2 linked regions of the Alligator mississippiensis genome follow. The protein of the gene in region 2 purifies or fractionates together with the protein of the main gene of each other region. This does not show direct contact. Links are inferred from orthologs where the notes say so. Each region holds a gene or a part of one and is shown on either strand. Other genes may lie near its edges.

Region 1 (3,746 bases), on a different chromosome or scaffold from region 2:
CTCTACAGGCAGCCCTGTCACCTGGGCTTGCATCTCCCACTTTACCCATGGTAGGGAATGCTGTTTTGTCTCAGCTTCGCAGGGGCTGGAGGGATGCTTGCTCGGCTTCACTCTTGGAACCGAACCACCGAGCCCGGCCGTCCTCCTCCCTCCTGCCTGCTTCATTTTTGTTTTCCCTTTCCCAGCAGGTGGATGTGCCTCCTGCTCCATCGGCACGTGTTCAGGCTCTAGGCTCACTCTGAGCCAAGCTATTTGCTCCCTTTGGAGTCCTGTGGCTTTCTCAGGCTTTGGATTTCTCTTTGTAACGGTCAGTGTTTGAACAAGACCCCCCTTGAAAACCTGGTCCCTCCGTGTCTGAGTTTTGGGACATGCAGAAGGTGGTCCAGCTCCATCAGAGCCGCTGCGTCACACCTCCACCTTCTTTCACTTGGAGAAATCCCAGGGGTTACCTGCAACCAGGGGCCCGATGCACTGGGCACTCCCTTTTTCCATGGACCAGCCCCAGAAAGAAGCAGCAGCTTTTAAGCCAGCAATGTGCTGTTTCATGTGGTATTGCAAGAGGGCATCGTCCCCTTCAGATCATGCTAGGTAGGTTTGTCACCAGCTTTTCAAATGATCCCACTATCTTTCCTCCTCCGCACCCTGGAGTTGCTGCCAAAGCCACACAGGGCTCTGCTGTCTCCGTTACCCCCTAACGCCAGCAGAGCCACCCCTGCCTCCCCGGTCTGAGAAGAATCAGGCCTGCTGTTTACCAGCTTTCCAGGGTGTCGCAGCCAAGGTCCTGTGATCCCAGCAGCTGCTTTTACCTCCCACTCCACAAGGCAGGACCTGGCGCGATAAATGGGACCTTTTCATGGACGGGCACATTGAGAGGAATTTCAACCCAGCTGACAGGAGGCATATGCCGCTCTTGGCAGCATCATCCGGGGGCTCGGGGATGCTGGAGAGCAAGGGGGAATTGTCTGGGAAGACGAGATCAAGGGGGAAGAGGAGCCCTGGGCTGAGCGGCAGGTTGGAGAAGGAACTTCCCCATCCCTAGGTTACAAATAACGCAGCCAGCGTCTCTGCATAACTGGCACTGATGTCTCGCTGGAGAGGCTTTGGCAGGAGTCCCATGCTCTTCTGAGCTGAGCTGGGAGGAGGAAGCTGCCAGCGACCGGTGGGAACCAAGGAGCTGCTTCCTCATTGTCCTGTGGCCCTTTGGCATCAGGACGCTGCCACAAAGGAGCTGGCATCAGCTGCCCCCTTCCCACTGCACGCTATCCCCCTGGTAGGAGCCCCACACCTCCCTGGTGCCAGCCCTGTGAGCAGGGGGTGTTGGTCGCTGGGGACGGTCTCACCTGCCCCTTACAGGGCTCTGAAGGAAGGGGCACGAGCCTCAGCTGTGCCAGGCAGGGCGGCACGGAGCAAGGAAGCTGCCCACTGCCTCCCCGTGTGAACCAGACTGTGTAGGAAGCAAAGGGGCAGGGAGGGGGACTCAACGGCTGGCACATCCTTGGAGCAGGGCAGGCACCTGCTCAATAAGCCTCTCGCTCCGACTCGTCCAGCCCCAAAGCCCATCCCTGCTCCCTGGCGCAGATCTTCTGAGAACATCTGCCCTAGCAGTGACTTGAGGCTGGATGGCAGGTGCATTTTTGCACCGGGGGATGTGATGCCCAACAGGAGGACCTCACTTTGAGTCCCCCCCAGGATCCGTGTGATTGCTTGGCACCAGCGGGGCATTAGGAGCAGCCTCCCGGCCTCTGAGACATGTTGCAGGCCCCTGCTGTGGGCTCCGGGGTCCTGCTGACTTTCCGAGAGGCCGGGGAGAGTTGACCTTCCTCGGTGTCCTTCCAGGAGCAGTCAGCCCAGTCAAGGGCAGGGCAGGGGCAGTGGCAGACTGGTTCCTGCCCCCGTTCCAGGGGTGGCAGGAAGGTGATGGTCCAGGACCAGGGAAAGAGTTGCACAAGGGGTTTTCCTTTGGCCTTTAGTCTACAAAATCCATGTGGATGAGGGGTCCACGCATAAACACAGCACCGCTACCCTCCCACCTGCTGCATGTCCGAAAGGGTCTCTAGGTCTTCTGGGGTCCTTCCTTCCTCTGGGAGCAAGTTTGGTCTAGCAGCTAGGAGAAGGGACCGCAACTCCCACATTCCCTGCTGCTTGCCCCTTGAACCCACGGCTACAGTACCAATTGCCAACATCCACAAGGGAATGGAATGCTTAATTACCATTAATTAGCATCTTATAAGATGACTGTTCCCTGCCCCGCGCACCGCAGCTGGAACCCAGAGGTCTGCACAGCTGCTCCTGCCTGATGTGGAGGATCAGCCCTGGTGCCTCCAGCTTGCCCTCTCCCCATTGCCCCCCAAATCACTCCCTGGAAACAGCTCCTGACTCTGCAATGAGTCCCGCCGTCCCAGGCTCCCCCAGGTGCAGAGCCAGCAGCAGACCACAAAGCGCGGCAAGAGAGAAGCGTTACCTCGGAGAACCCTGTCTCCAGCCAGCTGGGCATCCGCAGGAAGGGGGACCTCAGCAGGAAGGGGCTGATGCTGGAGGAGGTGGGGAACAGCTCAGACTCGAGGAGGTGCTCCCCGAAGCTCTGGTCGAAGATGCGGCTGGGGGTGAACAAGGACATGAAGGGTCTGCGCAGCAAGGGGTGGTGAATGGAGACATCCATTTGCCTTGGCTGGGGGAAGCGGGAGTGCGACTGCAGCTGAGTTGTGCTGGGACCGGTGCACGAGGGCTTTTTATAGCCCCAGCTGTCCTGGGCGCGCCTCCTGCTGAACTCTCTGGAACAATGATGTCAGGAGTTTTATCATCCTGCTCCCGTCTGCGCCATTCAGCACTGGCCGGGCCATTGTCTGGGGGATTTGGATTAAGGAGCCGAGGCGGGGGGAAAAAAGAGAACTTGGTCTCACGGGTCAGCAAGAAGCCGAGGCCGGCTGGCCAGCCTCCTGGCCCCCCCACGCCTTGTTTATCAGCAGAGCCCTCGCCAGCCCGGCCACGGCTCCAGCTGCTTCAGATGCCAGGAGGATCAGTGCAGCGCCTATCTTTGGCTCACGCAGAAGCGACAAGGGGCTGTTGTCTTTCCTGTTGGGCTTTGCAATTTGGGTCCCAGGGACACATGCAAGGCAGCTCTGCTGCTCCATGGGTGGAGGCTGGCTCACCGCGGGACTTGTCCCTCTCCAGCTACACCTGTGAGCCCTGATGCCCCCAGCCAGTGCCGGTCTGTCCCTCCTTTTGCCCCAGCTGCAGCAGGCCTGGTCCTACCCTGCCAATCGGGGGGTCCTGCCCCTCTGCAGCTTGCACGGGTCTTGTCACCTGCAGCCCGTTCCGTGTCTGTTTGCAAATCAGGATGACAAAGGGGTCAGCACCCAAATGTCCCCTGAGCACTTCCACACTTCTGCCTTGGCCCTCAACCCACACGGCTCTCTGCAGGCAGCGGCAAGCCCTGGGTAAGGGTGAGGGGAGGCGGGAGGGGAGCGGGCAGGGTGTGAGCCTTGGCAGCTGTTGCCTCTCGCTTTCCTGGGGGCAACGAGACCAGCTCAGCGTCCCCACGAGTCCGCCCAGCACCCAGCCCCCTCCCAGCACTAAAGCCTTGTCATGGGAGAGCGGCGACAAGCCAGACACAGGGAGACCTCTGTCCAGTCTGGCTGAGAGGGGGGGATAAACCTGCTGCATGAACGGACCCCTGTGTCCTTTGGGCCATTGGTGTGCACTGGGGCCTATAAGCCCCAGTCACAGCACAGCGTCCCCGTGTGCTC
Region 2 (3,746 bases):
ACTTTAGTTCAGATGGCTTTTCGAGTAAGAAACAGAATTTCAAGTGTATCTAATACCCAATGGGAGACAGATATGCAACAAAGAAACCACAAGGCATAGGTCAAGGGTTGCAACCTGACATAAATGCCAGCACACTCCTCTTTCCTAACAGGTTCAGGTTGACAATACCTTGGACAGGGACCTTGATGGAAACCATGGGGGCTGCAGAAACTTACTATTTCCATGTCAGAGTCAAGGATGTATGTGGGTGGTATCTTTTATTGGACCAATTGCTTGGTTGTCATCTTCCTCTCATGTCTCTACACCACCTTTGACCATTTTGTTACACATGCTCATGCTCATTTATTGTACTTTATGAGGTCTTTCATTGTACACGTGCCTGCAAACAGCAGACATTACAGCAGGAGTTGCATAATCTGAAGCTCTCTGTCGCAGTCAGAGATGGTTGAACCGATGGTATAGCCCCTTCTTCATTAGTATCTTGCAGCACCTAACTCTGGTACGTAGGCGGTTGAGACTCTGCCACCTTTGCCATGTTTCATCAGCCCCTGGTGATAAGGACTCGGCTGCTGGAATGCCCTTATTCCGCTGTCAGGTACTTTCTTCAGCCTTTCGTTCCACATGTGTAGTAGTCTTGTCTCCTTGAGCGTGGCATTGAGAGGATGGGTGCTGGTGAGGAAGCTCCTGCGTGATTTCAGATGTTTGGGTATTGCGGGATGGTCATACAGTGGGCATCTCACATCTTCAGTTTGTCTCGATGATTCTATCCTGCAGGCCACTATTCTTCTGATGTCAGGCAGAGCATTGCCAGCTAGCCCTGTTTATCCTGGTAGGCTTCAGACATCCTGTGATAGCAGCTATCGTTCAGAATAGGGTCAAGGTGCTTAGTACAGGGCATGCATACTCAGCAGAGAAGCTGGAAGCCAGAGCAGTGCTTCCAGTGGTTGAGGGGCTCACTCCCCATTTCAAGCTGGTGAAGTTATGCAGAATGTTATTCTGAGTACTCACCTTTGCTTTCATCTTCATGTATGAGAGGGTTTGATCGAGGGTGACTCCAAGGTAAACTGGATTTGGACAGTGGGATAGTGGGGTCCCGGACATCCAATGCTGAGCCGGTCGGTGGTTGGCCTCACTGTTTTTCAGACAGAAGGCACATACATGGTTGTGTTTTTGTTGGGTTGATATATAACTGGTTTTCAGTGTAGTATGAAGTTAGGCCAACTAGTGCTTCCGTAAGGGATTTTTCAACATTGTCAAAGTTAGTGTTTGGGCTTGTTATGGGCAGGTTGTCTGAACAGATGAAACCTTGTTTCCAAATTGATTGGCTGGTCAAGTTCCACAACAGTGGTGCAAGTATGCTTCTTTTGGGGGAGGCCATTAATGTCACTTCCATCTACTTCACTTCCCATCCAGTTTGGCAAAAAAGTGTTTTTGAGCTGGGTTCACATCAGTTCTGTAAGGCACAGATCTTTTGTCATTTCCGGGGTCTTGTGGAGGAACTGGTGGTTAACTATATCGTAGATGGCTGTTAGGTTGATAAACACAGCTCTGGTGATTTGGCCTCTTTCAAAACCATCCTCAGTATCTTGAGTCAGAATAAGCAGCTGGCTTGGTGTTGATTTTCCAGGGCGAAGGCTGCCCTGTTTGGGGATCAGGCATTTATTTACGTATGGGACAAGCCAGTTCAGCATCAGCTAGCCGTATAATCTGTATGTGTGGTATAGCAGAGAGACAAGTTTGAAGCTCTTTGGGACAGCTGGGTCCTTCCCTGGCTTGAAAAGTGCTGCTGCCTGAGCATGTCACCAAATCTTTGGCATTTTTTGGCTGGCTGCACGAGCCGCATGAGCAGAAGAGCTGTTCTGGAACCTGGTGTCCAGACTCCTGCTAGTGCCCCAACCACGATGTAACCGCTCAGTCGGGACAGACCTAGTTGAGCTGCTGAATACAGTGGCCACCAGGGGAAGAGGGGACATGTGGAAGTGAAAGGGCACAGGACTAGTCAAAGCAGCAGTTGCAGGGAGCCGGGCAGGGACACTTCAACAGCAACACCCAGCTCCAACTGCGTTCAAAAGCTTGTTTAAGTCTCTCCCAACCAAATCGGGGTCCAGTACAAGACTCCACCCACATAAATCCTTGCCTCTTGCCTAGTTCCTGCACCAGTGAGGGGTACAACCTCACTCAAACGGTGTTTCTACAGCGGCACTTCAGGAGGCGGGGGAGGAACGGGCACCACTCCCTACTGCCAAGTGCCCGGGCCAGCGGGGACCGCCGCGCTGGGTAGCCGGGTCTCGACCACGCGGAGTAGCGGGGGGCGGAGGACGAGGCTGAGCACTAAAGCCGGGGCTGGGGCGGCGCCGCCAAGTCCGCGCAGGCTCCGCCGCCTGGTGCCCCGCCTCGGGCGCAGGCTTTGTCCGGCGGGGCCGCGCCGCCACCTCCCTCCCCCCGCGGCGATAGGACGGGTCCTCGCACGGGACGCAAGAGCAGCACCACGGGGTGAAATCCCCCCTCCCTTTCCCCGCCCCTCCCGGCGCCGCGCTGTGGTACTGACCTGCCGCCCTGCTGGTCCCGCTGCGATTGCCGCCTGCAGAGAGAAGCCGAAGCCCCGCCCCGCCCCGCCCCGCGCGGCGGGTTCGAAGCGCGAGGGGGGGGCTCCCAGCAGCCTTTGCGGCGGCTCCCCACCCATACAGCGCGGGGAGTGGGGCTGAGGGGGTGCCGCTGTGGGAGGGCCGCGGTGTCCCGCAACCCGTCACCGGGCCGGGGTCGTGCCTGGGGCACCTATTGCAGGGCTGGCACTGCACGTGGCCTCCCTCTGCCCCACGCGGCAGGGAGCAGCAAGCGGAGCGGCAGACAGGGCGGGAGCAGGGGATCAGTCAGGGCGCGGCCTGTGACTCGCCTGCCAAAAAGGTGCCCCCCCCCACCGTGCATTGGGTGCAGGGGAAGCCAGGGGGTGCATGCCCTGGTGTCTCCTGTAGGTTGTTGTGTCCTCCCCAGACATGGGGGCATCATTGGAGCATGGGTCCTTAGGGAGGGGGTAGGAGTTGGGCAGCAGCAGGAGGAGCACCAATGGTTTCCGTGACCTGAGGAAGTCTGGAAAGTACTGACAGGTGGCTGCGTGCTCGCCAGCCTCAGTTTGCATGCCTGGGAGACTTTGCTGGTGGAAATGGGCACTTGTAGCATTTCTAGGGCGTTAAGGTGTCTGTAATATTAGACGGGCCCTTCTGAGGATGTTGTTCTGGACATGAGTGAGGGCATAAAGGGGAGGGTTAAATACTGACATTCTCCTTGTGGACCTGGCCTGTAATTGTCCAGAGGGCAGGGTGTGGAGTTAGTTCAGGGGTGGGCAATTATTTTGGGTGGAGGGACACTTACTGAGTTTTGGCAAGCCATGGAGGGCCGCATGACAGGCAGCCCGGGGCAGATAAATACTAATTTTCTAAATTTTTTAGGGTCACCACAGGCCGGATAGAATGGCCTGGCAGGCCATATTTTGCCCACCCCTGAGTTAGTTTCGCTCTGTTGATGTCCCGGCTGAGTAATCTCGGTGGGATACTGAGTCGGGGAGAGAGAATCCGAAGTGGAAGAGGAGGGGTGTGAAGAAGCAGGGGAAAGAAAGCAATGATGCAAAACAAAAGATGTACGAGGGGAAAGGGGAACAAATCAATTAATGGTAGCAGGAACAGGTCTTGTGTGTCTGTGATAAAACTCCTGTAGAAACTGCCATGCGCGCTTTAAAGAGTTTTGAGAGA

What was found.
Region 1: the proteins of CASP3 (region 2) and CRYAB purify together in Homo sapiens (affinity purification with western blotting; 3 studies listed by BioGRID). This does not show direct contact. The link is inferred for Alligator mississippiensis from reciprocal best matches to the Homo sapiens genes CASP3 and CRYAB.

What each region holds. Positions count from the first base shown.
Region 1 is NC_081839.1:31,678,510-31,682,255, forward strand, and holds the start of CRYAB (alpha-crystallin B chain), read right to left. Parts: upstream 2,884-3,746; 5' UTR 2,660-2,883; coding exon 2,462-2,659; intron 1-2,461. UniProt on the Homo sapiens protein: May contribute to the transparency and refractive index of the lens. Has chaperone-like activity, preventing aggregation of various proteins under a wide range of stress conditions.
Region 2 is NC_081825.1:71,032,159-71,035,904, reverse strand, and holds the start of CASP3 (caspase-3), read right to left. Parts: upstream 2,899-3,746; 5' UTR 2,549-2,898; intron 2,494-2,548; exon of another isoform or gene 2,388-2,493; intron 2,186-2,387; exon of another isoform or gene 1,009-2,185; intron 1-1,008. UniProt on the Homo sapiens protein: Thiol protease that acts as a major effector caspase involved in the execution phase of apoptosis. Following cleavage and activation by initiator caspases (CASP8, CASP9 and/or CASP10), mediates execution of apoptosis by catalyzing cleavage of many proteins.